Linked DNA regions of Rhinolophus ferrumequinum. The protein of the gene in region 1 purifies or fractionates together with the protein of each later gene. This does not show direct contact. Links are inferred from orthologs where the notes say so. Each region holds a gene or a part of one and is shown in the gene's direction. Other genes may lie near its edges.

The links.
Region 2: the proteins of UTRN (region 1) and SNTB2 purify together in Homo sapiens (affinity purification with mass spectrometry; 4 studies listed by BioGRID and IntAct, with this or other methods). This does not show direct contact. The link is inferred for Rhinolophus ferrumequinum from reciprocal best matches to the Homo sapiens genes UTRN and SNTB2.
Region 3: the proteins of UTRN (region 1) and MARK2 purify together in Homo sapiens (affinity purification with mass spectrometry; 4 studies listed by BioGRID and IntAct, with this or other methods). This does not show direct contact. The link is inferred for Rhinolophus ferrumequinum from reciprocal best matches to the Homo sapiens genes UTRN and MARK2.
Region 4: the proteins of UTRN (region 1) and DTNB purify together in Homo sapiens (affinity purification with mass spectrometry; 3 studies listed by BioGRID and IntAct, with this or other methods). This does not show direct contact. The link is inferred for Rhinolophus ferrumequinum from reciprocal best matches to the Homo sapiens genes UTRN and DTNB.

Annotation. Positions count from the first base shown.
Region 1 is NC_046286.1:88,838,406-88,846,348, forward strand, and holds the start of UTRN (utrophin), read left to right. Parts: upstream 1-4,611; 5' UTR 4,612-4,725; intron 4,726-4,739; exon of another isoform or gene 4,740-4,849; 5' UTR 4,850-5,015; intron 5,016-5,540; exon of another isoform or gene 5,541-5,693; intron 5,694-7,943.
Region 2 is NC_046298.1:18,363,807-18,371,394, forward strand, and holds the start of SNTB2 (beta-2-syntrophin), read left to right. Parts: upstream 1-4,217; 5' UTR 4,218-4,238; coding exon 4,239-4,818; intron 4,819-7,588. UniProt on the Homo sapiens protein: Adapter protein that binds to and probably organizes the subcellular localization of a variety of membrane proteins. May link various receptors to the actin cytoskeleton and the dystrophin glycoprotein complex.
Region 3 is NC_046294.1:7,483,608-7,491,845, reverse strand, and holds the start of MARK2 (serine/threonine-protein kinase MARK2), read left to right. Parts: upstream 1-4,907; 5' UTR 4,908-4,986; coding exon 4,987-5,040; intron 5,041-8,238. UniProt on the Homo sapiens protein: Serine/threonine-protein kinase. Involved in cell polarity and microtubule dynamics regulation. Phosphorylates CRTC2/TORC2, DCX, HDAC7, KIF13B, MAP2, MAP4 and RAB11FIP2. Phosphorylates the microtubule-associated protein MAPT/TAU.
Region 4 is NC_046296.1:54,567,145-54,575,342, forward strand, and holds the start of DTNB (dystrobrevin beta), read left to right. Parts: upstream 1-4,988; 5' UTR 4,989-5,007; intron 5,008-5,532; coding exon of another isoform or gene 5,533-5,719; intron 5,720-5,811; coding exon of another isoform or gene 5,812-6,104; intron 6,105-8,198. Other genes in the region: protein SSXA1-like, read right to left, coding at 5,533-5,719, 5,812-6,104.

The DNA of each region.
Region 1 (7,943 bases):
GTAGTTTATTTTATATCATTATATATAATATATATTATATATTACTATATATTGTTATTGCTTTTATTATTATTGGTTATTATTTATATATTACTTATTATAATACTTTATTGTTATTTATTTTTTATTATCGTAACAGGAGGTTGAAGACTATTTTCAATGAAATAACAAATGAAAATGATCACAAAATGGCAGCAGATCCGCTTGCGTTAATAGAAAGGAGAAGGAACATGATAAAAGTAAAAATAGTACCAGGCACTGTGATAAAGGCCTTATATTAAGTAACTCATTTGACTCTCACAACAACACTTCAGGGAGGTATTCTTTCTGTTTTACAGACAGGAAGCTAAAGGTTAAGCAAGTTCTACAAGATCATACAGCTAATAACTGTCAGTATAATAATTAGCACTTAGGTGACTTAAATCCAGCCTTGTTCTCTTTCAGCTACACTATCTCTGTCCTCCCCATTCCCTCCTCCTTCTCCTCCTGGTTAGCAATGACCTGATATAACACCGGGATACTCTCTTTTTACTTAGTGATTTGAACATTTTCCCCCAACAGATTGTTTTATTTTACCTAAATGCACTCCCTAGCCTGTTTTGCATCTTTCATTTGTTTCTTTATCCACAAAATTAGAGCCTTAAAGGAGAGACTCTGCAAAACCGTTTCCACTACTAACATTATAAAATTACAAAGTAAGTGAAACCAAGTAGAAGCAGCAAGTATGATAACCCCCAACACAAGGCACCTGTTTGATTCAAGAAGGTTTTCTGGCTCTCGATGGGCAGACACCGTCCACTCCCTCTCCTTGTCTTTTTCTTCTCTTTCGGAGCCTCCTTTATCCTCCTCTTTTGTTTTATCAGTTGCTCTTTTCTCCCCAACAGCTTAGTCCTTTTATTTTGTCCTAGGCTTCTTTGGACCCTGAATTTAAGCCCCCATAGCCTCAGCCTCAATAGTCCTCGCCTCCCTGCCCTCCTGCCATCAGATGTCCCTTCAAAGCACCTGGTCAGGACTGGGGCCAGGCTTTGTCCCTCAGAGCAGGTTGAATTGCCCAGGATGCTCCTGAGGTGTTAATGACCCTCACTAACCTCAAAGGTGATCACAACTGAATGAAACACTTGAATTCAAAGAGATAAGGCTAATGGTGGGTATTTTGAAATTATGATTGATCCAGTATGGATTTTTATTTTCTGTGAAAAGGGCCAGTTCTAGACCCCTCTCCAATCATTCAAAGTGGCCAATTTGAGGCCCTTGGAAAACAATGGCTCAAAGTGCGGTTCTCCAACCATTCGGACCCAACCTCATGAGTTGCTTGTTAAAACTGCAGCTTTCTGGGCCCCCCCAGACCTAGTAAATCAGAAATGCTGGCAGCTGGCAGGCAATCTGAATTTAAAATATACACCTTGATGATTCTTAAGCTCACTACATTGTGAGAAACTCTACCTTGTGCTAATTATTTTCTAAAAGTTTCATGCATCATTATCATTATTATTTCCTTAATTGTGTCACAAAGGATTTTATTCATATCTGTCTTCAACGTGCAGAATTAGTACTAGATGTTTGACTGAAGAATTCCGCAACAATTTCAGCAAATATTCTAGTATTTAATATACATAAGCCACAGATCTAGATCTATAGTTTCTTTACCTGAAAGAGGTAAGAAAGAGAAAATTTCCTAACCTTTGTCCTTCTCTTAAATGCTTCCATGTAGGGCTTTATTCATAGTCAACACCAAGGGTAAAACTGAATGAGTGTCTTGCTTTTCTTACATTATGTATTTCCCCATGTTTCAGCTGTTTATAGAGAAACCGCATGTATATACCCCCGCACAAAGTTTAGTAGAGAAAGCACATTTTTGGCTCTTATATTAGGATGCAGTTCCTTGTATATGAACAATATCTATGCGGAATCATGTCTCTCTGTATTATATATACATACATATGCATATGTCTTTATTTATGAATCTACATATGCATTACTCATATCATGATGTTTTTCCTCTTAGGTCACGGGTTCCATACCAATGACAGCAGTTCAATTTTCTTAAATTTTCACTGTTCTGTGGTGACTGTTGGGCAATTCAAAGATCGGGTTAATGGTAGGTCCACGGCCTATCACTTTCTCCTAATGCTCTAATCGATCTTTGGAGCAGGCAGACAAAACCCCAACCCCACCGAGCACTGTCATTACAGGCCCATGCACCTGCTGTGTGAACTGCAGTGGAATGCTGGTTGCAGGTGCACTAACAGCTATCCTCCTCCTGGTGGTCTGTCTGCACTTCCCCCCAATGCAATTCTCAGGCTTGGCAGGAAGGTCACGCAGTCTACTCTATGGAAACGTAGCCCACTGTGGTCAAAATTGTCCACTAAATGTGGTTTCCTCACTTACAAAGGAAACAGGGGGTAGGACTAGCTTGGGACCTCTTGGTCATCCATCCCATCCATCGACAGAAATTCTTTGTTCTCTCTCGCCCACGGCCTACAGAGATTATCAGTCTGGGTCTGAGGGGAGAAGAGCTAGAAACAGAGCACAGTTCCCTAGGTAACGCACCATAAGCCACTGAAGCTGGGCTTGGAGTGGACTCACTCCCACACAGATGGTGGCTGTTGTCCCCAATGACCCTTTCCTTCCGGCCTTTGGGGAAGCTTAACTAAACACGCCCTTAGAGCTTACAAACTCAGAAATTCTAGGTCCCCAAATGACCGTGGTTTTCAAAAACTTTCAGTTAAGTACATTAATATTTGTGTAACACTTTGCAATTTGCAAAGTGCTTTCCACTTACATAATTTTAACTAATGAACTCCTCAAACACTCCAATGTGGTTTTATTTTAAAGGAGGGAATCTAAATTTCCATCAGCTCAACAGGATACAGTGCACGGTGAAGCAGCTTTAAGGGTCTGCAGAATTATCAGTTCAAAGGAAACCTCAATCTCCCTTGATACAACCAGACTCAAGTAGCACTTGATCAGTCATTTTCTTAAGATACTTACTGCTGATCTTGCATATCCTTGTTTACGTGCCTTATCTTACTAGATTTGAAGTTTTGTAAGGTAAGATCTCTATCGGATTTTTATTTGTATCATTCACAGTGACAGGGGACCAGGCAGGCCCCAAATTGGTGTCTGTTGAATGAACGAATGAAAGTGAAGGAATGAATCATAACTATTTCAAGTTAGTTCTGTGGATTTTATTTGGATTATGTGAAGAAAAACTCTCAAGGAAGGAAGCTAAATAGAGACTATAAGAAACATTGTGTATCTTTCAGGACATTGTAACCCCCCTCCCCCAAAGCAATTAGGGACTGTGAAGCTTTCACTTCACAACTAGTAAAAGGCTGGTGAATTCTTTCTGAAAAATTAATTGAAGGCCCCTAGTGGTTTATCTTTACTAACTTATACATTGTTAACTCTCAGATATTAAACCAGCAATAAGCCAGAGCTTGCTTATCAATCACCATTTCCTCTTTGTTTATAGGAACAAGAAACCTAGGTTGCGGTTTTTTCTTTCCCCTCCCAAGTGTGAATTCCTGTACTTAAAGGAATTACACAAACAAGGAAAATACGTAAATAAGAAAAAACGCACACACAGTACAAACTCATTTCTTCTCAGGTATTTTTTGACCAACCCCTCAGACTTGAGACAGGCTCGCTCTGTAATAGGTGTATGTATGTGTGTGTACATACTAGAAAAATAGAAAAGGTCAGCGCAAACCCTATTTTTAGGTATGAATGAATATGAAACAAAATTTCAAGTTTGTCTTAATATTAAAAACGACGCCGAGAAAACTATATAAATATACCCTTGGAACTAGGACCCAAAATCAGCAACACCAGCAAACTGAGACGGGGGTGAGTGGAGGAGCAAATGGCAATTTATCTCTAAAGGAGAAAAAAAGAAAAATCACCCGAACTACCCGCTTTGCCTGGAGTGGGGACGTGACTCACATTTTCGGATAATCTGAATAAAGGGAGTGTGTGTGTGTGCGTGTGTGTGTCTCTGTGTGTGTCTGTGTGTGTGTGTGTGTGTGTGTGCCAGACATCCACCCCTTCTAGCTCCGGACTCCCGGAGCCGCGCGGGCGGGCAGCCCCAGGCCAGCCGAGAGCCCGGCCGGCTGCCGCGGGCAGGGAGGGAGCGCTGGGCGGGCGCTGATTGACGGGGCGCTCGGTCAGGTGACCCGGAGCGCCACGTTCCCGGAGCCCAGCCGGCGGTGGCCTCCTGGGCTGGGCCGGGGCGCACCGGGAGCCGAGAGGGGCTTATCTCCCGGAACAAAGTTGGGGGGCAGGGACGGCGACGGGGGCTGGCGCGGCGCGGGCCGGCGGACCGGACCTGCGCGGCCTCCTCTTCCCCGAGAGAGCGGGCCCCGGGTGCGGGCCGCGAGCCCGTGCCCAGGGGGGCGGCAGCGCGCCTCGGAGCGGTGCTGCGCCCCCCCGCCTCTGCCTCCTGCGCTCGGCTCCAACAAAGGGGCAGGCCCGCGGGGGGCGGGGAGGAGGGGCTGGCCCAGCGAGCGGCGGGCGCACAAAGTTGTGGAGTCGCCGCGCCTCGGAGGCGGGGAGCGGGCGGCCGCAGCCTGCCGCGGGCTTTCTCCCGCCGAGGGGCGAGGAGGAGCCTCCGGCTCCCGAAGCCGATTGGGGAATCACCGGGAGCCGTGCCCCCCTTCTTTTGGGTCATTTCTGCAGACGGAAAACTAGTGTTTGGCAAACTTGGTGCCTGCGCGCCTGTTCCAGGTTTGCACTTGGGACTGTTTTGTTTTTGGCGGAACTACCGGACAGGAGGATTGCACAAGTCAGAGGCATTTTGAATCGGGTGTCAAAAAAAAAAATTTCCTTTTTTCTTTCGGACCTTGTCTAGGTCTCCACATTTCATTTTTAAAGAACGTCGCACCACAGAACTCACGCTCGCACAGCCCCCCCGCGGTAACTACGACCCAAACACACCCAGACCAGCCCTTGGCCGCTGGGGACGCGGCGGCGGCGGCGGCAGGCAGGCGAGGCGGGCCCGCGGGTCACGGGAGCAGGTAAGTCCATGCATTATTGAAGCCCCGGGCTGGGGAATGTGACCACAACCCCGGGGAAACGGGGCGTGGACTGCGGCGAGGATGGACTTCTCTGCGGTCCTGAGCCCAGGATCAAAGTCTCGACCTCCTTCGCAAGAATGTGTCTAAGATGTGATCAACTTTTGCGGGCACTTTCCTCAGAACCTGAGTTCAGCTCCCCCAGGCGCGCGAGAGAATGCCAGCAACGAGGAAAGAGGAGGGGTTTCTAGGAATCCGTGTAGTTGCGAAGGCTCCAAACTCCTCTGACTGGTTGGGGGCCACCCTATGGCTTCCCCCGATCTTCCTCCCCGCCGGGGTGTGAGAGTCGCGCATCTGTGCCTCGCGCAGTGAGGGGCGCTGGGCCAGTGATCTCCAAGGGGGGACGTGGCTTCCCAGGAGGGCCTGTCACACACGCCCCAGCTTCGGAAGGCGGGACTAGAGGTGTCCGCTAAGAGAGGGTGGGGTAAGGGTGGCCGTGGTGGACGGGCAGGGGAGCAGTTCCCAGCCGTCCTCCTGGCAGGAAACGTGTTCGACCTCCGGGCCATTGCAGCTCGGGAGGGTGGGGCTCCGGTAAGGGGACGCGGGAGCCTAGTCCGTGCGTGGTCCAGTGCAGCCGCTTCTTCTGGTTTTCCGGACGCTTGGCATCTCTTACTGCAACTGGTAAGGTAATTCATGCCCACCTTTGGCCCCAGGTCCGAGGCTCTGCTTGCCCAAGGCCACTTACAAAACCAACAAAGCACGAATTTTAGGTTGTGCAACTTTTAGAAGGCTGCTGTTAAAAGAGACGTTCCCCCAAGCTCCGGAAAGGGAGTTGTTCTAGGGAAGGAGAAAACGTGCCCGACCTTTCAGAGCCAGGGGACCTGCAATTTGTTTTACACTGAACTGGAGAACTCTGGGTCTAACCTGGGTCTAACGGCTCCGCTTTCTGGCATGTCCCGGGGTGAGCTTCCTCTTTCCCAGCCTCCAGGTCACCTGGGTCACCAGGGCTTCGCGGGTCAGTTCCCCGTGTCGCGCTTGGGAGAGTCCGTGCACCGGTTGCCGCGACCGGAGCGCACAGAGTTCGCGGGGAGCCCGGACTTCCCAGGTCCGGGTAGGAGGTCGCGGGTTCTGGGACCTGCGGCAGGACTCGCATCCATTGCTTTGGAACTTACACAGGCCTCAGGAAGTCGGGTTGGCCCCTCCAGGCTGGTTGCTGGTGGGCGTGAGGGACGCAGCCCCGCGGATAGCGCTGCGGGCCAGGCGAGAGCCAGAGGAATGCGTAGCTCCTGGGTGCTTCAGCCTCCAGGGTAACAGGCGGCGAGGGCCGAGGTTTACGCGGAGTCATTCCCTAACCCCTCGACCTGCACTTATGGGACGAGACCCATGCACTTATGGGATGAGACCGCTCTTTAATTCTCCTTTGGGTATTTACATACAATTTATTGCCCCTGTAAACAGTATTAATCACTGTAGTATTCACCTTCCCTGGGAGCTCGTCAGAGTGAATGGCAGCTCTTGGCACTGGGTGTCTTTTACTGTGTTTCCAGCAGAGCAGCAAACTCTTGCCCCTTTGGCTTCCCTTTCCACTACGTATCTCTAGCTAGGTTTTGCCCAAGGACCAGCATTGCATTTGCATCGTAATTGTATATTGTTGAACATATTTGTGTGGCATTGTATAATTCCTATATTATTTTAAAGGCAAAAACTTGAGCTTTCCTTTTAAGGCCATCCTCTCGCGTCCAATTTGGTTTATTGCCACACACTCATGGCTTCAGGTCCTCATGACAGCCAGAAATGTTCTGAAGAAAATGTTGGTGAACGTAGAGTTGAATGTATTGGTTTCTGTGAGAAAGATCTGGCTAAACTTTGGCACAGAACCCTAGAGTAGTGGTAACAGTAAGTTACAATTGTAAAGGGCTTAAAGCTTCGAAAGCAACGTCCCATTCATTTATTCTGTTTCTTACCTGGCTGTGTGTGGAAGATGGCCTTCCCTGCGTTTCATAGATGTGAAAGTGTAGGGACACCCCAGTATGTTGTTAGTGACTAAACTTTGATTCTTTCTCCTGACAGCCCTTTATAAATCGCTGCTGCATTTAGCGATTTAGAAGGAGGTGTAATATGTTTTTTGTCATATGTTACTCAACCTGGAGTCCCCAGCCATTCATGCAACAAGTGGCAGTCTGTGGCTATCACGGTTTAAATGGTCTTCTCCCTCCTTCCCATTCTGTTCTTGTCCTCTGACGTCCCTTTCTGCTGCATTATTGTAGTATAAGGGATTTTGATTATCAAGAAGAGAAAATTTGAGAAGTTATCTTAAGGAGAGCGGCAAAATAAAATATAATGAAGAAATATTAATGTGCAAATGGAATAAATTCCTGTGTAAACAGTTTAGTTTTTTTATGGAGTGGGAAAAATCTTCACTTTGAAGTGAAGACTTTTGGCTAAGACCAGTTATGAAGGAGAGCATTAGAAGTATCTGTCAAAGAGAATAGTTGTGTGCCAGTAAAGAGAATTTTGCTGGGTAAACCTGATTTTCCATATTAAAATGTTACATGCATTCTTCTGAACAAAGTTGTTTGGTTTTTGAATATAATAAAATGCAATTAAGAATTCAGTAAATATTTTACAAGTATGTACCCCAAAAAGGGAACTTAATCACATAATAATCCCTAAAGTCTTAACAGTAATAGAGCAATATAAAACATGAAAAAGTTTTTTATAGTCATAAAATTTGGCAGACAGATAATCTAATCCATATATTCCTCCCTACTGTAGAGGAAATTATTCCTGAAGTTTTATAAATCTGCCACAGTTTTCATCTGCCTCAAACTCTTTAACACTTAAAATCTTTTTCTGAGGTAATTTTGACCTTTTTTAATTAGAACACACCCTTTTTATGACGATCAGGAAAATAATATAATAATAATTATG
Region 2 (7,588 bases), on another chromosome or scaffold:
CAGCAATTGGCTATTCCATTAACTGACTCAGCAGGAAGTTAAAGCTGTGGGACGAAGGCCTAGAAATATCATATGCATCAATAAACATGATTTGGTGTTCGATGGTATATGAAAAATCAGAGTTGAAGCTGACTATAAGATTGCAAGTCTTACGAGGTACTGGAAATTGTTAGAACTGATATTGGGGGTGAGGAAGTTTTTATTTTGGGATCTCATTTGAATTTCATGGCAAATTATGTAATTTCCATGATTGTCAATAAAAAACACTGGTAATTTTCCATAACTAAGTGGATTCCATGAAACTAACCTTCTGCTTAGTGTGTCCTTGCTAATATTTTCCTAAAAAGAAAGTCACAGAGCTACAAAACTGTCACCAGCTGCTTCTCATTAGTAATGTGGTTAGCAGATGTGGGTTTTTATAGTCATAAAGCATGAGATAGTTAATCCATTTTTGTGGGTTTCAAATGGATAGTGATTTATCTTGGCGGGATGAATTTTAAAATGTGCTTGCATCAGCTAAAGGATATATGCATCTTTCCCTCTTTTCGCTTCATATTTGTGCTGGAGAAAAACATTTTAGGATATTTCTGGAAGGCAGAGGAGTACTGCCTGTTGAAAAGGACAATTGATCTCACTGTCTTCTAACTGGGGAAGAGTTATGCATGCATAATTTTTCAAAGTTGGATGTTGAATTTGTTATCTTACAAACTTCTCTCTTCGGCCTCTTCTTTGGTAGTAATTGAGTGGCTCTTGCTTTTGTTTCTCTGGCATTAGGCCACCTTTGTGGTAGTGACCTTCAGGCTTGCTAAGGGCTGCAATTTTGCCTGGGGCCCTCCTTCCTTATGAAATTACACAACACTCAGACCTTGGACCAAGCCCCAGATCTACTAATTCTTTCCTTTGACAGACTCTTGGCAATATGTACTCCCTTTCAGCCAAAGTGTAGTTTTATGCAAGATCTGTTTGTCACTGAAATTAATTTGGCCATTTGCCCTTTAAGCCTGGAATCAAATGGTATCATGGTAGACCCATTCCTAGATAAAGTATAGACTCTCAGTTTCTACCAAAGGTTTTACTATTGATGCTGAAGCTGAAGATCAACAGGTAATAATAACAGCAGCAGCTACGTTTTTATAGGCAGTGCTGCTACGTGCTTTGCACGTCATCCCAGTCAGCCACCTTTAGAGGTAGAACATACCTGAATATTTTTCCAAAGGAGAAACTAAGGCCGATGTCCTCAGCCCCTTGACCATTGTCATATCCTAGTAAGTGGCCAAACTGCAATTTGAACCTTGTGCTCTTAGTTGCCATGCTAAATTATGCATCGACTATGAGAGAAAAGGACAAAAAACATTGGGTTTTGAGAGGGCTTAGAATCAGAGCCTGAGTCGTAGAATTGTAGGAAATTATGGAACTGAAGCTAGCTAATCTAACCCCCTCATTTTAAAGCAACAAAGATCCCTGCCTTGTTCTGAGAAAAAGTAAGATAACAGTTTGAACAGAGGAGAACCCATATTGATAGATGGCAGGATTGGAAGGTTATTGGGAATTATCTCAACCATTTCCTTTTTAGAGGTAGATAAAATAACAGTCCTGTTCAAAAATTTTCTAAGCTTTTCTCACCGTCCTTAAAGAGGCCATGTGTACTCTTTATTTCAGATTTCATTATCCACCATAAATAGATTTCCACTGACTACTTGAGATTTCCTTGATGGTAATTTTCACTCTGCAAGGAACCAGTAACCTTCAGAGGGATTATTTGAAATGACTACTGCGCAGGAGGCACTGAATTTCAATCAATCACATGTTTTATGAGTTCCTTTTCTACAAGGCAATATTTTTGGAATAATGGGGAATAAATAGAAGTCGGTGGGTGGTCCTGCCCTTTTGTATTTTAACATCTGTTTGGACAAACCAGCCAGGCATAAAATTGTTCAAAGCAAAAACCCCAACAGATTGGGTAGATAAGGAAAACTGGGATGAGATCTTACTAGGTGGGAAGGTGGCTGAAAGGGGCAGAAGGTGTTTGGAAGGATGGACTCAGGTGGGAATTTGCAAGGCATCATTGGGAGACACTGGATGAGTCTGGCTGATCTAAAAGTAGTGATGAAAGAGATTGTTGAAAATTAATTTAGGTTCTGATGGAGAACCTTGTAAAAACATCTTGATAGTTTGGGAATTTTTTATGGATATATTTAAAAATAAGTGAAAACCTCCAAGTAATCCAAATACCAATCTTCATTACCTTCTCTCTTTCCAGGGTTAAATATTTTGTTACATAACTATTGTCTTATATAAGTGCCTTCATTTATTATTTGGTTAGAAGATCTACGATTTCCTCCAACTCTATTGACCTAAAGGTCTTGATACTTTTGGAAAGAATTTCCAGCATTTCCCTTTTGCTAATAAAGGTATCCTCAAGTGCCCAACCTCTGGGTGGTTACATATATAAAAGTGTTCAAAATAGTGCTCAGACCCCAAGGACTCAGCTGCCAAGTGGTCTGTAAAAAGCAGAAATGTCACATAACTCAGGCCTCGGGGGGCTCACACCTCAGCTGGAGCAAAGCCAGAAATGTCTATGACTATAGGGTCACTTTGGCACATCAGGACCTGCCAGAACAGCAAGCTGGCCTCACTGCAGTCGATTTAGGAGAGGGCTGGAGGACTGAGCTTCTGCTGATGTTTGCAGTTTGGAAAATCCTGCTCCACTAATTGCAAAGAGGATTCTGCTGTAATGATATTTTCGGTGAGATACTTTTCACATTTTGAATTTTCTTCATTTGGGCTCTGGGTGCTTTCCAGTCTCTCTTTATTGTTTTAACTCCTGGTATCGGAAGTTTTGCCCATACACGGATATGCATTTACAGAGTGGTGCATGGACATGGCTTACGAGCTTCAACATGTACTTCATGAGCAAGCAAGTATACAGCCCCTTTTACAGGAATTGGTGTACACTCCCTCTGCTTGCAGCCCTCCTTCTTTTCCCCCCATAAAAACATGGGGATTTCGCTTTTACTGCTGAAGGAAAGTTAGAGGGCACCTTGATCTCACGTTTTTTGCTGAGATCTTTGAGCAATGTGATTTCTGGACGCTCATTTTTGAGATCTGAGTTATGTTAAAAAAAAAAAAAAAAAAGCACTGGACCAGGAAGCTAGGAGACCTGACTGAGTTTGCTTCCTCATTGTGGACTTGAAGCCAGAGTCTCTGGCTCCCTGGGCCTGTTTCCTCAGTTCTTCCAGCCCATGAAGCTGGGGGAAAAACCTGCTGCAGGCTCTGCAGGTTGCATAGTTTCTGGAGCCACCCATTTGCCCCAACAAAAGGCCACGGCTTCCAGGATAAGAAAAGTCAGATCTGCAAACCCAAGCCCAAACTCTTTGATATTTAATTATATGAGGCTTTTCACACTCATCCTGCTGACTCCACTGATCCTATGCTCTGTTCACATGGGAATCTTGGCATCTTCCTAGGTAACCACCATTCTGCAAATATATTTGAGGCCTACCTATTGTAGTTGCAGGGCTGAAGAAGACACGGTCCCCTCTCTACCTATTACAGGCAAGTAACAGGTGATAACAAAGCAGATTCTTGTCTCTGGACCTTTGCTTATGCCGTTTCCTCTGCTCCCCTATTCACCTTCCATTGTCACCTCTGTGAAGCTGACCCCAGACCTAACTGAAGGTTTCTTCTACTTTGCTCTCAGGGCGTTTTCTATATGTCATCTAACCACATAGTATCACACCAGGTTGGTTGGGTCTTCGCTTTCCTCCCACACTAGACCGCTAACTCTCATTTGTGGTACATGTTACTCAGCTCATTTCTAAGCCTCAAAAGGAACACAGCGGTGGAGCCCTCAGTAAATCCGGAATGAACCAATCAATGCAAGAATGAACGTGCAACCCAGTCTTGCAGGCTTGCAAAGTGCTTCTCGAAGTTGATCTTGCTTTCCGTGCCCAAGGCAGCTCAAGTCAATCGCACGGTACAGGTCAAGAGTTGGGGGGGTGGGGCGTCGGAGGTGAACAGGAGAACGTGAGATGTAGCCCGCCGCCTCCTGTAGCCCACGTCCAGTGAGCCGCAACCGACCGGACTGTGCGAGCAACTCCTTAACCTCCCGGAAGTGGCTCCTTTCCCCGCCCCTCCAGGGATGGGCGTGGTCTCTCATGAATAATGAATCTACAGGGGAGGGGCCGGACCCGCCCCCTCGGGCGGGAAGGGGGAAGCGTTGAGGCTGCCTGACTGGAATGAGGGTAGCTGCGGCGACTGCGGCGGCGGGAGCGGGGCCGGCCATGGCGGTGTGGACGCGGGCCACCAAAGCGGGGCTGGTGGAGCTGCTCCTGAGGGAGCGCTGGGTCCGGGTGGTGGCCGAACTGAGCGGGGAGAGCCTGAGCCTGACGGGCGACGCCGCGGCGGCTGAGGCCGAGCCCGCTTTGGGGCCGGCGGCGGCCGCCTTCAACGGCCTCCCGAACGGCGGCGGCGCCGGCGACTCGCTGCCGGGGAGCCCAAGCCGCGGCCTGGGCCCCCCAAGTCCGCCCGCGCCGCCGCGGGGCCCGGCGAGCGAGGCGGGAGCGTCGCCTCCCGTGCGCCGGGTGCGGGTGGTGAAGCAGGAGGCGGGCGGCCTGGGCATCAGCATCAAGGGTGGCCGCGAGAACCGGATGCCGATCCTCATCTCCAAGATCTTCCCGGGGCTGGCGGCGGACCAGAGCCGGGCACTGCGGCTGGGCGACGCCATCCTGTCGGTCAACGGCACGGACCTGCGCCAGGCCACCCACGACCAGGCCGTGCAGGCGCTGAAGCGTGCGGGCAAGGAGGTGCTGCTGGAGGGTGAGCGGGGCCGGCGGGCGGGCGGGCCGGCGTTCACTTTGTTTCTGCCACCCTGCCCCCTTTGCGGGGCGAGCCCGTTCCCTCCCCCTCCAAGGCCTCGTCTTTCCCTCCTCTGGTGCCCCGGCTCTCCCCAGACCCGGATTGCTGTGGCTTTGAGCATGGAAAAACTGATACTCCTTGCAGGAAAAGTTGGGCAACCGCCGAAGTGTGGGTGGCAGTCCCTAAAGAAGAGTTGGTTGAGATTTAGTAAAAAGCAGCAGCGCTTGAAGCCCCGCCTCTGCACAATAAGCTGATACTAAGAACTAGAGGACTCGAGTTCTGGAGGTCTCCTTTTGCCTCCTTAAAGAAGTGCCGGGTTGGCGCTTTCTTCACTCACCTCTGGCTCCCTTGGGAGGGCGGGTCTGTTAAAAATTCATCCACACCGATGCCAGCGGTATGCTTGGGCAAACCACCAAAACGCTGGTTAATTTATGGGAATTTAACCCATCATTGGCTCTCAACAATAACCAAAGAAAATCTTAGCACTTCCTTGAAGCCAGAAAGCTGAAACAGCAAGTTTGTGTGGTTAATGAGCCTAGTTTAACAGTGGAGGCTCACGTGTTTGAATATTTACTGCCAACTAGAGTTTTGCCCCTTTTGCAAGAGACTGATGCCAGCTTCCTACCATTCGCAGGAGTGCTGCTGCAAGGCTTTAAGCCTTTAGAAACCTGAAGTGTTAAATCGCAAGATATGTTCGAATAACCAGGATCATTATTTACTTAAGCATATATGTGGTCTGTAACCAGGATCTTTTATGGTGAATTTATGGAACTAAGGCTAAATTAAATCTCATCCCCGTGAAGGACTCATGCATTTTGGAGGTGAATTGTATTGTAAAGTGTTGTATTGTAATTGTATTGTATTGAAAGGTATTGTAAATGTGATCTGAAAAGCCCGTTGCTTACTTGAGAAGTTTTTGAGCCATTTGCTTTCTTTCATTGGTGATTCAGTCATTCAAGAAGCATTATTGCTGGCCATATAGAAGAGAATATAAAAGATGATATGTCTGTATTTGGTCTCTAGTTGAGAAAATGATAGAAAGATGTAAAACTTACAAGTTATTGATTAGGTTGTTCAACATATATATAAATGCCAAGGGAATGCAAAGTTAGAAAGTAGTGGAAGTCAGGATTAGTCAGAGAGGACTTTGGAGGAGCTTAATCTTGAGCCAGTTCTCCAAGGAAGTGATGGACATAGGCAGAGATGAGTCAGGAGGGTATTCCTGGCAGAGGAAGAACTGAGGAGGGGTGGGGAGTAGGGGTAGGAAGTGAGCAGTCCTCATACTGAGAGGCCAGAAGTCTAGCTTGGCAAAGTGATTTTCACTTTTTTCAAAATCGCAGTTATAATATTTGGCAAAATATTAATTTGCAAGTAAATGATTTAATGTGATCCAGTTTTGAAATTCCAGTGTCCCACCTTTATAATATCCTATTTATAAACCTTATTTATATCTCACTTATAGATAGGGCTAGACACTGCTCGGAAATCAGTATTAATAAAAGGAGTAAAATTACAGATTGTGGCTCAGGTGGTGTATATGTAAGAAAATGGTTACCTTAAACGTGTACCTTGAAATGGGCTTAGCTAAGCATTTGCTTATAAATTCTTAGAGCCAGAATATTGAATATAGCACTATTTATGTAGTACTTAGTGGTGATGGGTAGACATTTTAACTCTTTACACCATATTTTTAAAACACCCAGTTTTTGTTTAAATATAATTTGAACCTGGTATTCATACCAATTAAATGAAAATCATCCAGTAAATGTTTCCCGGTGTTCATTAGTCTAAAATGGGCCACGTATGCTTTTAGAAGAAGGGTTTACAAACGGCCGCAAAACATTTACTGAATACCTTTTTTCCTAGCACACAGGTTCTACTTTATTTTCCCATTTTGGAAAAAACAAGCAGTTTTTGTCGTTATATGTGGAGGAAAGTATGAAATTGCGCTTTCAAGCCAACGGATATAAAAATAAAATTACTTAGAATAAGCAAAAATCACCGAAAACAGTGATTTAATTGAACCAGTCAAACTATTTAAAATTGAGAGCTGTTGTCCTAACCAGGTAGGCCACTTTTGGAAGATGGATTTTATGCTTAGCTCTTAAAGTTTTGGATCTGTGTTCTCCTTTCATTAGATGTCTCAAAATTTGAAAAACTGCCTTAACGTAGCACGGTGATGCTCTTTTGTGGTGTGGGCAGGGAATGTCAAGCATGCCCTTGCCACCCCCAAGCAAAGGAAAGCTGTAGTCTCTGTTGGCCTGTGGTTAGGGAACTGAGCTAAAGGGTTCTTTTTATCTCATGGATTTATAGGGATTATTTATTCATACATCTAACATTTATCCAACTCTACAATGTACCAGAGACATTCGAAGATACCTACCTCCTGCTCTCAGAGAGTTTGGAGTTGAGATAGGAAATAAGTACAGCAAAGGGCTAAAGCAAAGGACTGTTGTAATAGAACTCTGGAAAGGACACAGCACAAGGGAAGGAGAGATCTATAGGTGACCCTATTAGGGATCAGAGGTTGAGGATGCCCAGGAAAAGGTTGAGGGAGAAATTGAAGCTTGAATGGAGCCTTCCCTTTAGAAGAGAAAGCTGCTACCAGTAAAGACACACAAGGGAGGGACATTAAGATGGTATTTCTGCCCCGTAAGGGTAGAGTACAAATGAGGTCTTCGTGGTCAGAGAGACCTGGGTTTGTTTCTGGCTAGTGGTTTGTAACTCCTAG
Region 3 (8,238 bases), on another chromosome or scaffold:
AGTAGGCTAATAACAGCAGCCCACACTGAGCGCTGGCCATCCATCAGACTCGAAGTATGTTTCATATATTAACTCATTATAGCCTTGCAAATTATCCCCATTTGACAGTTGGGAAAATTAAGGTGGACAGAGGTTCAGAGGCTCGCCTAAGATCACGGAGCTAGTAAGAGGCAGCCTGGCTGGAGGCCCGTGGATAACGTTTGGTAGCCCCTTGTCACTGCCCGACTTCCCGCCTCTCACGGGTTCATTCCCCTATGCCCACTCCCCTAGCAGAGTGCCGAGCGTCTCTATTCTTTGCTTTCCTTGTCAGTAGACCGGGGGTAATAACTGCCTCCTGCTCACTGTAACTGATGATGTCTACACAGCTCGCAACTGCACGTGTGTTAGCAAAACCAGGAAGGGGAATGAGACCGGCAGTTCCTGTCCTTGTGGTGGTTGGGGAGGGAACACCGATAACAAACGTATTCTAGTCTATCAGTTCTAAGATGCACGTTTTTTCGCACTCTAGCATCTCTGGAACGTTCTAAATTCAAGACGGTATATGGCGATGGTGACAAAGCGCATGATGGAAATTCAGAGATGCCAAAAAAAAAAATAAGGCAAAGCTCCTCGAGACGGGAAGGTCTCTGACAAGTGAGAGGGCAGGAGTGGGTCTTGGCCCTCCTTGATCAGAGGCCAATTCTGGACCATTCACCCACCCCCTGGAGTGGCCTGTCCAGCATGAGCATTACTCCAACTCCACTGGTTGGGAGGGGAAAGATTGAGAAGAGTTTCGATGTTTCAGAGGGGAGAGAATAAGGATGTCTTTCTCTCCAGCATCCCTGCCTCCCTTTGCTTCTTTCCTCCCTTCCTGCCCACAAGGGTGGGTGGGGGGGGGGGGTGGGGTAGATTGCTACCCTCAGGCCCCTTCGCTGTGCTGGAGCTGGGAATCCCATAGCTCTGCCTTCCACGGTTCCAGTGGGCATCACAGCTGCCCTGGACCACTGGTCATGTTGGTTCCTTTCTACCTGGTCTGGAGCTGCGGTAGATGCCTTTATTTTTGTCTCTGTTTTGTTTTCAGTTGTTCAGGTTGGAAAGCTTGGAATTATCTTTAACTCCTCTCTCTCACAGCCCTCCAAACTAATCCATCAAAAAATCCTGTTGGCTCTACCTTCTGCATATAACTCAAATCCGACCCCTTCCCCTGCTGCTGCCCTCTCCAAGCCACTGTCATCTCACACTTGAATTATCGGAAAAGCCTCCTTCCTGGATTCCAGGCTTCTGCTCCTTCACTCTATTCTCAGCCCAGCAGCCAGTCAGATCACGTCACTGCAGAGACTCCCTATCTGACTCTCAGGGAATGCCACAGCAGTGGCCCTCCAGGCCTGGCCCCATATCACCTTTCTGCCCTCTACGCCTACTACTCTCCCCCTCGCTCACTCTGCTCCAGTCTCATTGGCCGCCTGATTCTTTAATGAGCCAGGCCCGCTCCTGCCTCAGGGCCCTTGCACTGGCTATACCCTCTTCCTGGAATGCTCTTCCTCCATATCTGCAGGGCTCACTCCCTCACCTCTTTCAAGTTTTTGCTCACATGTCACCTTCTCAGGGAGGCCTATATTGACCACCTTAATACTGCAATTTCTTTTCCACCCCTACACCCCAACAATTCTGATCCCCCTTATAGCTGCCTCTATATTTTTCCCATGGCATTTAATACTTACTATTTTGTTTGTTGTCTGTTTTTCCCACTTGAGATGTAAATTCTCCGAGGGTGGAGATCTTTGTCTATTTTGTTCACTGATATACCTAAAGAGCCTAGAACAGGGCCTTGCACATAGTAGGTGCTCAACAGAGATTTGTGGATGAATGAATTTGTAAATTAGAAAGGGGTAAATGTGTGGCAACATATAATTAATCTTTGAAGAGAACTAGGAGGTTTCAGGAATTTGAGAAGGTGATACTCGAACTGGATCTTTAAGTACACCTGGAAGCCTAGGTAGGTGGCTGGCTAATTGATCAACCTGAACAAAAAGCATGGAGGTGGCAGAGCTTGGTGGCAGGGCAGGAGCTGGGGGGAGGTGTCAACCAGTGATACCTAGCTGGAGAGGATATTAGCAAGATAAGTAGAGGCCAGATATGCAAAGCTTTGGATGCAGGCTAAAGGCTTTCCTACCTCCAGGAGCAGCTACAAAATTTGTGGGACCCAGTGCACGATGAAGATGCAGGACCCTTTTGGTAAAAATTTCAAGAGAGTGACAGCAGAGCATTAAATCAAGCGCAAGGCCCTTCTAAAAGTAGGCTCATGAAGCCAATCCTGCCTCTCCTACAAGGGAGCCTGTGAGAGCCTTCAAGAAAGACAGAGATGTAATTGGAGCTGGACTTTAGGAAGATTATTCTGGTGGGGTAGGTTGGAGGGAGTCTAGGCTGAGAGACCAGTTAGGCAGCCTTGTGTGGAGGGAGAGAGGAAGAGGAGGAGACAGGTGGGGTGGGGGTGGGGCTAAGAGGCAGAAGGCTGGGGTGAGAATGTGAATGAGTAGAAGCAGGGAGGTGGTAGAGTTTCTTTAGGCAGGAGCATGGGTCGGAGAAGACCCGAGTGCACCTTCCTTTGCTACTCCAACCCCTTCCTCTTTTCCCTTCTTTCCAGACCTAAGCCTTAGGAGTGAGATCCGCCACGAATCGGCAATGTGTCTCTCTTTGGCCACCAGAGGGCAGATCATTCTCATGGATTTTCAGGATTAATTTGGGGTGGGGGGTGTGGAATGGCCTCTGTCCTCACGTCTTCCTCCCTATCTCCCTAACCTCCTTCAGCGATTCTTCACCAAGTTCTTCCTCAATGGCTGAGTGCCTGAATGGAGCTGGTGCAGGGCATGGGGAGGTGTTCTGGAGTCCAGTGTATTTACTACAACTGTAGAGAGTACCTGTTGCCTTAGGAAGTACTTTCATACCACCCTCTCATTGCATCTGTCCGGCTCTGTATTTCTCTGGTTCACTTGGCCACGGGCTCTCTGCTCAAGATGCTATCGCTGGGAGTTAGAAGTCAAGTGTCAGAAGTCCAACCAGCACTTTTCCCCTCAATCCCTGGGGCCTCTCTGCTCCTGTACCTTTGGGGACTTGGTTGAACCGGGTCTCTGGCTCCTGTGGGAACCCTGGCTTCTGCCCACCTTAAGCTGTACTTGAGCCCTGGGGCAGGGGCAGGAAGGCAAGTTCCAACATGTCTGGAGTAAGATGGATGGGACAGCTTGGAGCCAGAGGAATCAGATCAGCCTACTGCTTTTCCCTGCTGAGACAATTTAGGGGGAAGTGAAGATTGGACCCAGGTTGCCAAATGGACTGTTGGATCAGAGGCTCTCCAAGGATGAGAGGGAACTCAGAGCGGACGAGTCCAAAGACCTCAGTTTATTGCTAGGGGAACTGAGTCCCGGGGAAGGAAAGGAACTTCTCCAGGTGCCCATTCTTTGTGCCACCCTGAGGAATTCTCATTGGCAACCAATGTCTGTTTTCCACGAGTTTCTTTGTCTTAGAAGGGATAACTCAAATGTGAATTAAGATGAGAACGTCTTTCCTGCCTTAGTTTGCAAGAATATTTTAAAAAGTACCTGGGAGGACTCAATATTACCGTGGTGTGATGTTGTTTTGTGCTATTTTGAACAATTAAGACTTTTTTTGGGGAAAAAAGGCAACTAGAATTAAAAGCTGTTATTTAGAATCTCATCACTGGAACAAAGGCATTGACTCGTTCAATACAGGGACATCTCGGAGCCTAAGCTCATGTGATGACGTTATGTGATTTTTCCAAGATCACACAGCATTTTCGTTCCACACACCGGGACCAGAATGCAGGGCTCAGGAGACCTTTGCAGTTGGGAACCACGGGCGCAGCCCTGGTGCTTGCCTGGGAGCTTGACAAGAAGCCAAGACAGACGGTGGCAAGTGATGAATAGTAGATGGACAGGTAATAGAGTAATGCTACATTTGACAGATGACACATTTTGATAGACAGTTTGGATGATAAACGAGATGGACTTTATGAGCTGACCGACAACGAACAGACACGCAGGTGGGAAGTTGGTTTAGAACCAAAGGATGCCAATGGCAGGGACGGCTAACGGCCTTATTTTCTATTTAGTTAAAGAATAACACGCTACCTGTTCAAGGTTTGAAAATATCCGAAATCTGACGGAAAGAAACGAAGTCAGACTCGGTACCACCCGAGGGAATGACCCGGGACTCGCCCGGCCTCGGGTGTTGCCGGAAATGGCCGACGATTGCCGTCGGCTGCGGGACTGGGCGGGGCGGGGGCGTGGCCGGCTCCCCGCACGCGGAGCGGCTTCGGGTGTTTCCGGAAACTGCCGAGAACCAGCTTGAAGTGGGCGGGGAAAGGCCTGTGGGCGGGGCTGGAGTACCCGTAGTCGCTTCGTGTATTTCCGAAAACAGAGCCGAAGCTTGGTCTTCACAATCGAGGAGGCGCGCGCATCCCTGGAGGTTACCTTCTTCGGGTGTTTCTGGAATTCAACCCATAGTCGGTGGCCAGGAGGAGGAGGCGCGGCCCCCTCCCGTTCCTGGCCGCTTCGGATATTTCCGGCTGCTGCCGGCGGAAAGAGCCGAGGGCCGGCGGTGGTGGCGGCCATGTTGGGAGCAGCAGGTCCGGCGGCGGCTGCCTGTGTGCCGGGCGCGGAGCAGTGCCGCTGAGGGCAGGGGAGGAGCGAGGCAGGCGGCCGGCTGCGGCGGCAGAGAGTAGGCGGAGCGGCGCGGCCCGGCCGAAAGGCGGCACAGCCCAGCCGGGGGTCGGGGGGGTGCGGTCCGGAGCCGCTCGGAGCCGGCGCGGCCTAGCCCGAGCGGCGCATCCCCGGGCTGGCGTGAGCGGCTGCCCGGCCTCCCCGCACCCCCGGCCGGGGCCCATGCGGCGGGTGCCCCTGCTGTGAGAAACCCCGCCCGGCCGGGCTCCGCGCCTTCCCTTCCCTCCCTTCCTCCAAGCTTCTCGGTTCCCTCCCCTGAGATACCGGCGCCATGTCCAGCGCCCGGACCCCCCTACCCACGCTGAACGAGAGGGACACGGAGCAGGTAAGGAGCCCCGATGGCTCCCCGAATTCTCTGGCTGGGCCCCTGCACCTTGCAGAGCCTCCTCCCTCTCTGCTCTCCTCGTGCCCCTGCTGCTATCCTGCAAGCCTCGGCTTCCCTGTCATCGGGCTCTCGGCTCCGCACATCCTCCTCCGAGTCCTGTCCTAGGACCCACCTCGTCCTGACTCCACGCTGCACACTTGTCTTTCTGCTGGCCCCCCCTTCTCCCTTTACCGCCCTCCCGCGCTCTTCCGTGTTACCTCCCCAGCTTCCCCTTCTCTTCCCTTTTTCTCTCGGGCCTTTCTGGTCTTCCTCCACCCACGCTTCAAGCAGCCACCCTCCTCCTCAAATAGTACCCAGCGATTTGCCCCAGATGGTTGTCCACGTCTTCTTACATCTCTTTACCCTTTTCTCCTCCGCCCGCACCGGTTCTCCCAGTCCCTGGTCATCACCCTCAGGGTCCTTGCCCCGGACTGTGTTCTCGGTCTCTGTTCCCTTCCAGTTCCCCAGCTTTTTTTACCCTGCTTGTTCCTTCTCCAAATTGTGTTCTCCCTCTTGCTTGCAACCCACCAGCTCCACCCTCATCACCTTTCCAAATCGTTCGCCTACTCTTTGCTCATCACTTTCCCTTCTTTTCAACAGGAGCTCCCTGGTGCCTCGCGCTGGCATTTGTTGCTTCCGTGTTTCCCATACAGCTGTCATGCGCATAGTTTTCCCACAGGTTGTCTTTGGGGTTCCAGCCTTCACTCCCTTCAGTCTTTGCATCCTTCATGTTCTCTTCCCCTGGCTTTGTCTTTTAAGTCTCTTGGCCTTCTGTTTGTCACTGTGAGTGCTTTGCCAGCCTTCTCCCTGGGCTTTTCCTACTAAGGGAAACACACTACTATTTCTTCCCACTCCATTATCACAACCTGTTGCTGGGTCCTTTCCCAGGTCTCGCTACATCACCCTCCTTGCCTGTCTTCTTACACTGCAACGCAAACCATGATGCCTGCTTGTCTGTCCACTCCTGGGTCTGTCACTTTTCATAGTATCTTCCTCCTTGCTTGTTCCCTTCTGATTTCTCTACCCCATCTTCCTTACTGTGCCTCTTAATCAGGATTGCCTCTCAGCTCCATATTAGTCTCCCGTCTTCTTCACGTCGTATTTATTTTCCCCCATATGCCCCTATCCATTCCCTTCCTATTGACTAGTCTTTGTAACTTCCCATCCAGGCATTTTGCATGCGAGCTTCTCAGTCCCCCTCATCTTAACAAATCACTGCTATGGTTTGGCACCCAAGCCTAAGCCTTTTTTATGTCATCTCACCTCTGAACTGAGAGACGTCCACCTTCCACCCCTCCCCTTTCTTTCACCATCTCCAGTGTCCCTTGCTGACTGCTTTGTGGAGTGTTCCCTGCCTGTCACACCCTCCTTGGTGGAGAACTTTACTAGGCCAAAAAAACTTAACTTGAGAAAGGAGCCCTTCTCCCCTGGGGCTGCAGTGCTTTTTTGCATCCTTTTACCTCATTATATCCTTTATGTTTTCCTCTTGTTCCTTTTGTATCTTTGTAGCCCAATGGAACTGTTGCTATATTCGCTTGCATGTTAACATCCTTCTCTGAAAAATCTTCCCTCTTTCCATCATTCCTAAGTTTTCCTTTTTTATTACTCCCCCCTGCCCCCCTTGCTTTCTGTCACCTGGGCAGTCAGGAACTCAGGAGGAGTTCTGGACTGAGTGTTTCTGTGCAGTGGTTGACCCTTTCGTTACTGATGGGTTGATTGCTTCTGGAAGTGAAGCCGGGGTTGAGAGGGAGGGAGGGATGATTTCCATTGTGTCCCCGGGTTTGGGTGCTGGTTCTGCATGGGCTGGGACTGAGGGCTTCACAAACGGGAGCGCCTCGCTCTCCAGCTGTTTCTCTCCTGACTGAGAACCACTTTCTCTAGGCCCTCTTGAGGTTGCCTGTTCCATTTCTTTTCCTATCACAACCTTTGTTTTAGCAGGTAAACCCTGCTTAACCAGAGAACTTTTCCCAGACTGCTGATTATGAGCTGGTAGGAGGAGGCCAAGGGACTGACTGGCTGGCACCTTGCTGCATTTGGGGAGTGGCAGTGGATGCCTGCTCCCCGCGAGGCTGTGGGGGGCATTGTGTTGAGCAGAGTAGAGTAACAGACCGCCTCAATGTGGTTCCTTTGTGCTGTCTGCTAAATGTAAATGTATTCTTGCCATGGTCTTTTCTAGTGATGTGCGTGTTGATTTCTTCTCTCCCTACATGCCTAGCATACTGCTGAGCATGGTGGGAACTCGGCACACACCCACTGGTTTTATGATGGCCGGAATCAGTGAACCATTTGGGAGTGGAAGCTGTTCTTTGATAACTTTGTCCGGAGCCGTGGCTGCATGCAGTGCCATCCCGTTCCAAATTATGAATTATCCCATTTCTGCTCTTGATGAACTTAAGTTCTCCTGAACCACTTCCTAGCTTCTGCTCTTCTCATGGTAGCCAGTCTCACTATTGACTTGATATTAAGTCTCATCCTAGTAAAAGCGTGGACTTTGGGAAACCTCGGATACACCTATTACAGTCAGGTGCCTGTATGTTTAAAAACAAGAAGAAAGACAAGTAGCATCTCCTTGGGTCCCAAGACCAGGGATGCCGGAAGCATCACTTCCTTTAGAATTGATCATGCCCTCAGATGAGAGAGCAAAAACAGCTCTTCTGTTGGGATTCTAACTAAGTAGTCCTGGAAGCTCAGTCATTGCAGCAAGCCTTTATGCTATGAAACAAAAAGCAGAAAAGCAAGGGATTTGGTTGGGCTGATTCCTGCCCCCCCAGAGGTCCTCTATCACCTTATTTAGATTTAAATTATTTAAATTGGTGTCACTGGAAAATAGATAAACAAACCCCACTGGTTGTCTTCAAGCTCCAGTCTCCTTTTGCTCTTCCTCTCCTCCAGTCTTTAAAACATGTGGCTGATGAGAAGCTGTTTCCAGGAGCTCTTTGATCACATCTGAACTAAACACACACAAACATACAAAGAAAATGTTGAAGCATAAAAGTAAACCTTGTGTTGTTGCAGGGGGGTTGCCTGTTTGCTATGGACTCTGCTTCTGACAGTGAAAGTAGGAGATAAAAGAAAGTCAGCTCTGTCTTTAAGATGATTTTTGTGACACCTGGTTTCAGATGTGCTTTATCACAGCCAGACTCTTCTTCCCTCTTCCTT
Region 4 (8,198 bases), on another chromosome or scaffold:
TCTGTGCTCCAAGTGGAGAGGTGCGGCATTGGGCAGGAAAGACCAGACTAAATGAGTCCTGATATTTATTCCCTACCTACCGATTAAGGAATGAATGAATGAATGAATGAATGAATGAATGAATGAATACACACGGGGTTCATTTAGTCATCAAGCATTTATTGAGCACCTACAATTTGCCAAGCACTGTATTGATACTTAAGAGCCAAAGATAGCTAAGCATATTCCCTCACCTTGAAGAAAGACAGATGTGCACACAATTAATTATAAAACAATAGATAAATTCTCTAATAGCAGGATCAAATGGACCATAGGAACTCAGGGCAGGTATTAAATCTGACTAGCAGTTTAGAGGTGGCTCCATATAGGAAATATCATCTGATCTGGGCTTTGAAGGATGTACAGGAATTTCACGGAGAAGAAGGAATACATGTTCCAGGCAGAGGAGGAAATGCGTGAAAATGCCTTGTTTAGGGGCCTGCACTCCCTCATCCCCATTCCTGTTTATTACCTTACAGGAGTCTTGGCCCTCCTGTGGTTCCATTAAGAAAATAACAAACACTGAGCTTCATGGAGAAAGCTAGCTAGGAGTCCTTCACAAAGGACTGTGGGAACCAAAAATTGGTAATGTGTGATAAGGGACAATTTCCCTCTAAATATAGAATTACTAGCCTGAAATTAGCTGCCAACCAGCCGTCTTTGAGTTCTTCTGACTATTCCAACTCTACCATTTGGGTTTAATTCCTGTTCACATACAGGCCAATGATAGTTTAACATTTCTCCCTTTATACCACTATCTAACTCTTCAGAAATGTATTTTTAAAATTATGGTACAAGAAATTTTACAGGAAAACAAAAGGAATTTGATAAATGTCTCTTGTATGTATCACTTCAACTTTCCTGGCTTTTGTCCGAAAACTTATCAAAGTGTAAAACTAACTCACAAAGTTAGAAAACTAACTTATCAAAGTTGGTCTCCTACCCTCCCACAGAGACGGGGAACCAGGGATCCTTCAGGTGTTTGCTGGAGCAAACAGTAGATTCCTTGGGCAGCCTTGAGCTTTCTCAGGCAGGGGCTTTATAGGGTCATCCCAAGGAGGTGGCCTTGAGCCCTTAGAAACTATGTCAGTGTTTGTTCAAGTCTTGCTAGGCCAGGATTGAGGCCTAGTTGAGGAAGGGCTCAGAGGAGCCGGACTAGAGTTTGGTGAAGGAGACGATTATTGTTACCCTCCAGATGCGTTTCCTGGTCCCTCGTGACTTTCCAGGCCCACGTCCCAGTCCTTCGAGAGCCTCGAGTCTGTCTGTTGCTCTTGGGAGCCCTCAGATACCTCTGTATTCTCATAATAAAATTTCCTGTATTTAAGCTAATTGGCTGGAATTCTGTTCTCAAAAGGAAGCCATCACTAAGACAAATCACTTTACCTGTATGAACACAACCCACATACTTGTCATTTTTGGTGCTTAAATGGCCATTCTTTCATGGTAATGTATCATAGCCTGTTTCACAATGACTTGGGTCATTTCCAGAGTTTTATGCTTATTGATAGTGACTTTTTTCCTCCTTATATAAGGTCAAAAGCTGTGCTGAGTTCAGAGCCCTTGTTACATTGCTGCCAGCTTCCACTCCAGCTTAAGTGCCGCCAGCCACACTTCAGGGCATCGATTTTCCCATAGCCCCATCTAAAGAGTTCCATTTTTATTTATTTTGGTTTGTGTAAGGATACCTGGGAGTTTCCTTGGTATTTTTCAATTGCGAATACAATTTTACGAGGTTAAATTAGATAACATAGACCCTAGCAAAGAGCCTGGCATATAGTAAGCTATTATTATGATTAACAGTGATTGAGTCAAAAATTGAATGTTGACCTTACATGTTGGTGTGTTTGTGTTTTTTCTTATGTATTTGTTGGGGGTTATTTCTCTTTTTATCCACTGGGTCTCTCCTTCTCAGCCTATGTGTTGCCTCAGGGCTGAGGCCTCAAGTCTCTTTTCTCTACTCGCTCTGTAAGTGATTTCATTTAGTCTCGAGTCTTTATAACTATCTGTATGCTGGCAACTCATATTCAGAGCTCCAGCGTGGACCTCTCTCCTGTACTCCAAACATATCTAGCTGCCTATTCAACTTCTCCGCTTGGATGTGGCACCTCGAACTTAACTTAAACTTAGCTTAAAGCTGAACTCCTGCTCCTGCCGAAAGCTGTTCCTTCCATTGCCTTTCCCATCTCAGAAAATGGCAACACCACCCTTCCATGTACTCAAGCTAAAAATGTTTGAGTCTTCCCTGACTCATCTTTTTCTTTCATACTCTACAGCCAGTCTCCAAGTCCTCTGGGCACTATCTTCAAAATACACCCCGAATCCAGCAAGTTCTCCCCACCTCCACAGTCACCACTCTGGCCACGACACCCTCATCTCTCACCTGCAAAATCTTCTAACCGGTCTTCCTACCATGTTTCCCTGGTGATAAGACCTACCGCGAAAATAAGCCCCAGTTAAGATCGTCAGCCAGATGGACACATTTAGTACGTTATGACAATGTTCCAGAAGAAGATGACGTGATTGTATTTGAATAAATGTAGATTGTTATACATGAAAAAATAAGACATCCCCTGAAAATACATCCTAATGTGTCTTTTGGAGCAAAGATTAATATAAGACCCGGTCTTATTTTCGGGGAAATACGTTACTTGTATGCTTGTCCATCCTCAACATTTCACCTTTGACCTTGGCCTTCCTCCTGGTCATGCGAAGCTTGCTATAGTCCCAACTTCATGGTGAGCTATAACAATGTGCAGAGGAAAAGAGGAATCCTCCAATAAGAGTGAGAAGACCATTTGCAGAAAGCTCTCCAGCAGAGTTCCTCTCACTTGCCCATCTCTAAACCAGTCACTGGTGAAAACAATAGGATTACTGGAGAAGACTAATCAGGCTTCTCCCTGAGTTGGAAATAGGGTTATCTTCTCTGACAACTGAGCCTCTGTTTGTTGAGGAAGAAATGGGGGAACACCCAAACAGAGTCTGCCATGATGTGGTAGGTCAGAGAGTCCATAAGAGTCCAATTACTTTTCTTAACTTGGTGTCAGTGGCCCTGTAGCCACAGGCCTTGGCCATATACAAAGACGAGGTCTACCTGACCAAAGAAGGGATAGGGTTGTGGCACGTAGCTTGGGTGTCTTTCTGCCAACCAGGAGATTCCCACCTTTCTTTCTTGGGACCTCTGTTGTGTCTGCTTGCTTGCAGGCCGTGAAGGAATTCACGAGTCAGGTAGAAATATAGAAGGAAGATTTATTAAAGTAAGAGAAAAGTCGACTGGGCAGAGTCTGCTGGAAACTACTGCAAACTACTGCATCGAGTCTTTGATCTCAAGTTTTATATTTTCTAACCAGGATGTAAATTGCTTTGGCCTATACTGGAATTTTCTGTTGATGTCTGCTTTGTCCATTGGGGTGGGAGAAGATTCAGTTAAGCTGATTATTGCAACCTTTGCATAAGTTATGTAGATTTAAATTGGAGCCAGGAGAGGGGATCCCATACAGATGCAAAACCTCTCCCAAGTCACTGGGCCAGCACTGGGCTGAATAGAAACATTGACACTGCATAGTAAATGTACAGGAAGCAGGAATCATTAAGAGGCAAAGAAAAGAAAGCTTTCAGAAAGTCCTAAGCTACATTACAGTTGTTAAATCAAATTATACCAGAGATCCAAATCTCAAAATAGAAGATTTAGTGCCACCATTACAATCCCCTGTCTTAACAGTCCCTTTATTTCAGCTTAATGGAAGAAGGTATTTACTTATTGTATTAGTATCCTAGGGGTACTGTAACAAATTACAACAAACTAGGGGCTTGAAACAACAGATATTTATTCTCTCACAGTTCTAGAAGCTAGAAGTCTAGAAATCAAGGTGTTGGCAGAGCCATACTCTCCCAAGGCTATAGGTGAAAATATGTTCCATGCCTTTCTCTTAGCTTCTGTCTCACCAATGCTTGGCCTTCCTTGGCTTAGAAGAGTGTCACTCCAGTCTCAACTCCATTGTCACATGGTCTCCTCCCTGTTTGTCTCTGTTTTCTCTTCTTCTAAGGACATAGCCATATTGAATTAAGGACCTATCCTACTCCAGTATGACCTCATCTTAACTAATTACATCTACAACTTCCCTATTTCCAAATAAGGTCACATTCTTAGGTCTGGAGGTTAGGACTTCAAAATATCTTTTTGGAGGACACAATTCAACCTGTAACACTTATATTTAATTAAAATTTAAATTCTCTTTAGTTCTTTTCCAATCTGCAAGTCTTATCTTTCATTTTCTTGCCTATTTTTCTGACCTATAAGCAACTATAAGTTGCCCTCTATGCACTGCATTAGCTGCATCCCATAAATTTTGGTATGTTGTGCTAAATTTTCTTTAAAAATTATTTTATGTTAAGGCTTGACTTGAATTTGCTATGTAGGTATTAGTTACTGAAGTTTTGAAGATAAAAAGAATGTATAAAATAGGTTCCTCACCTTTAATGAGTAAGGGTAATTTACTGAAAAATTTAATAAACTAGCAGCCATGAATTAAGGATGATGGTATTTTTAAAGAGAGTGTACGCTGTGTATTAACTTCCTTTCTTTTCTGTTAGTTGTTCATGCCTAGGTTGTGTCTTACCATGGTGCTAACAGGGCAAAGCTTGATTCCATTGCATATCTCCTGTCAGTTACTAAATCACAGATGCTGTGTGTAGGAGGAAGAAGCCTTAACAGACTTTATAATCTTAAGACTACATGTGAAATTTTCATTTCAGTGTATCCCTGTTTCAAGTTTTATCTGTGAGCCAGCAACTTTTTGTTTAGTTAATCGCCTCCATTTTACGGAACCATTTTTTTTTTTTCTGGCAAAAATTGTGTTTATTAACTGCCAGCGACTGAGACAGAGCATCACAATAGGGGATTGTGCCACGGAGCAGCTGCCGAACAAGGAGCAGGACGAGGGGTACATGTCCATTACACGCTGAATGCAGGTTGGATATGTTCAAAGTTGTACCGTCTCTGAGTGTCTGTCTTTGTGTTTATGTTTGTTTTTGCGGGATGTGGGTGTGTGTGTGTGTGTATGTGAATGAGAGAGAAGGAGAGAGACAGAGAGAGAGAGACAGAGAGACAGAGAGAGAGAGAGAAGTGCGCTCGTAAGTGCAGAGAAAAAAATGTCTGGAATCAGTCTCCCACAACTGCCCTGTGGAGTCACACGGGGGAGATGGAAAGTAGTGCTCTTCTGTGCAGAGACACCTGAACATACCTGGTTCCTGAGGTAAGTGCCTGGACACATAGGCAGAAATAGACCTTAGGGATATGTGTTAGTCATCCATGAAACACGAACACCTGACGGAATGTTAGACGCACTGTAAGAAGCATCGTGCTTAGCGTTTCACGGTGGTGAACTTTTCTTTCACTTGCTTGAGGCCTGATGGCCAGAGGTTCACAGCTTTGCATATGTTCATGAAAGGCCACCAGATTCTTCTTCATGTGATGGGCTCGTGTCACATCCGGATTTAGTCATCTTCCTTGGGGTCACTAACCTCTTCACAAACAACTCGGTTCTTTCTTTCCCGCAGCCTGTGGGCCCAGACACTAGACTTCACTTTGCTGGGTCCTGACATCTTCTCAGTCTCCTGACCAGAGGAACTCACTTCTCCTGGGTACACAGCTTTTTCGGAGCCGGCTCCGAGGCAGGCGTTACTGGTAGTGGCATCATATCATTTTCTTCCCTTGCCGGCTCCATGGGCTTCTCCTTCTCATCTTCTATCCATTGCACATCGGAAGCCTCTTGCGGATTTTCATCCTGATTCCTGGGGCTCTGATCTTCGTCAGAATCACTCTCAAGAGCATTTGTAGACTGATTTGGAGAATGCATGAAGTATGGGCAGTTGGTATTGAGACCTAGAAGAGTCATGTAGTCGTAGTTTCTCTTCATGTACACATAGGTTCTTTTCTGTAAGTCTCCCAGCTTTGCCCATTCTTTCTTAGAAAAGTTTTTGGAAATATCATCAAAGGCCTCATATTTCTCCTGTGATTTCTGGGCATCCTCTCTGTGGCTCTTTGCCAAGGAGCTGCCTCTGTCCATGGCGCTGGGAATGGTGCGATGGCCAAGGGACACAGCGCGAGTCTCTCCAGAACCAAGGCCAAAGATCCTCAGAAGTGAGGTGTCAGTGAGGGGTCGATCCCCGCAGAGATGAATAACCGCAATTCAGTTACCCAGGGACCTTCGACCACTCGGAATAGTTAGTGAAGTGGATTTGGCCCACTGCAAGTCAGGATAATACTGGGGAAGTTGAGGCAGGAGTGGGGTCCTTACGGAACCATTTTTAAGACCGATGGGTGGAATTCATTCAATGATGGAGTATTTATATTCTTAGGATTCCTAGAGGCTGGAGGAGATATAGGCTGAAAGGGAAGCATTACAATGAGACTACATCTTTGTCAGACAGTTTCCCTCTGACAAAGATGCTTGTCTCACCTCCACGCAACTCTCTTCCCCAGAGCATCCAACATCACTGTGGTATTAAGCCTCTTCCAGTATGCAGGCATTCCCCTGCGTATGTCTTGTTGGCTTTCTCTGTCCAACAGAGTCCTCCAAATCTCTTATGAGTCTCAAGAACCGGTATTTTCTCCTACTGCCCTCTTTCCCCAAGGAAAGATGATTCTGTTGTTTCACTGAGTTCACTGTAGGAAAACTTGACATTAAGGAGAATATTTTTTTTTCAGACTGTGTTTCCTTGCATAACAACACCACTTGTTTATGTAATTCTACCCAGAAGTGGCCGGCCCCTGGCATTTCTCTCCTGGGGTGTTTATAGGCTGTTATCACAGCTCCCGTCACCTTACAGGCTGTGAAAGGAAATTGGCACTTTCAGCCTTACTTCTCCCTCCATCCACATACAGGCAGAGGCTGAAAATCTATCGCTCTGGAATGAAGTATGGGATGAGGCATGAAGCCACTCACAGTATAACTGAACCAGAAATGGTCCCAATAAAAAGCCAGATTTTTAGCCCTTCACACCACTTAGCCCAGAGTGCATCTTCTCTTGCTGTCAGTAGAGCATCTCCCAACCTGCTGCTTAAGCAGCTGCTCAGGGGCTGCTCATCTTCACTGGCCTCTGTGTCAGGCCATTAACAAGCTGTTTAAACAATAACAGAACAGGCTGCGCTTGGAGCTGCCAGCCAGCCGGTCTATCGGGGACTTCACTGGGAATGTTTTTTGACCTTTCAAGGTTAGTGAATACTCAGCAGTTATATACAGTTCTGTTACTGAAGGTTGCAGTCCTGAGTATTGCTTATTATCTTATAATTCAGAGAAGAAAAGGGACAGTAGAAGAGTAGTTTTTAATAACTGTCACACTATAACACATTTTTAAAAATTTCAAAGAAACAAAGGTGGTCACCACTCTTACAAGTTTCATTTTTTGGCATATTGTTTAGTTTTTCATATTTGTATAGCCATAATGATGTCGATATTTTCTACACTTAATAATGCATATTATTTAATATTCTTTTATTAATATTTCCCTAAGTTTCTATACAATCTTTATGATAATTTTAATGACTGCCTAATTCATTGCATTGACGAGTATCACAGATGCCATACCATTTCCTTGCCTGTTGCATATTTAGATTTTTACAGGAGAAGTCATTTAGTTGAAGAAGGTGCCAGAGAATGTAGTGTTCCTTAAGGAGGCGGTAAGGGGGCCCACAGAAGGGTCCCACTGCTATGTGAGGGCAATGAGTACCTTTGGGATGGGTTTGTAACAGGATGCCAAAAGCAAACTACTCACCTATTTGATTCGAGACTAATCCTGGTACTAAGTACTTCAACTCATGCTTTATCTTTAAAAAAAAAAAAAAAAAGAAAGAAAAACTTATGTAAAGAAAAAGGTGCTGAGGCATGTACTATTTTTAGTCCTGCATGAATCAGATGGTGGCCTCTCAGGGTCCCAGAGCCAGAGCCCACTGGTCCACACAGGGTAAAACTTCTGTTGGGTCTCAGGACCAGCTAGGCTGCAGCTGGCATTTTGGCTTGGGATCACGTCGCGTGAGTAGTGTTCAGACTTACTGCTCCCCCAGCCCTTTATTCCATAGCTCCAGCCACTTGGCCCAATCCAAGCACCTGGGATCATCCTGCCACTGCTCAGGGGAGCGTTAACTGGCCTTAGGACTAGGA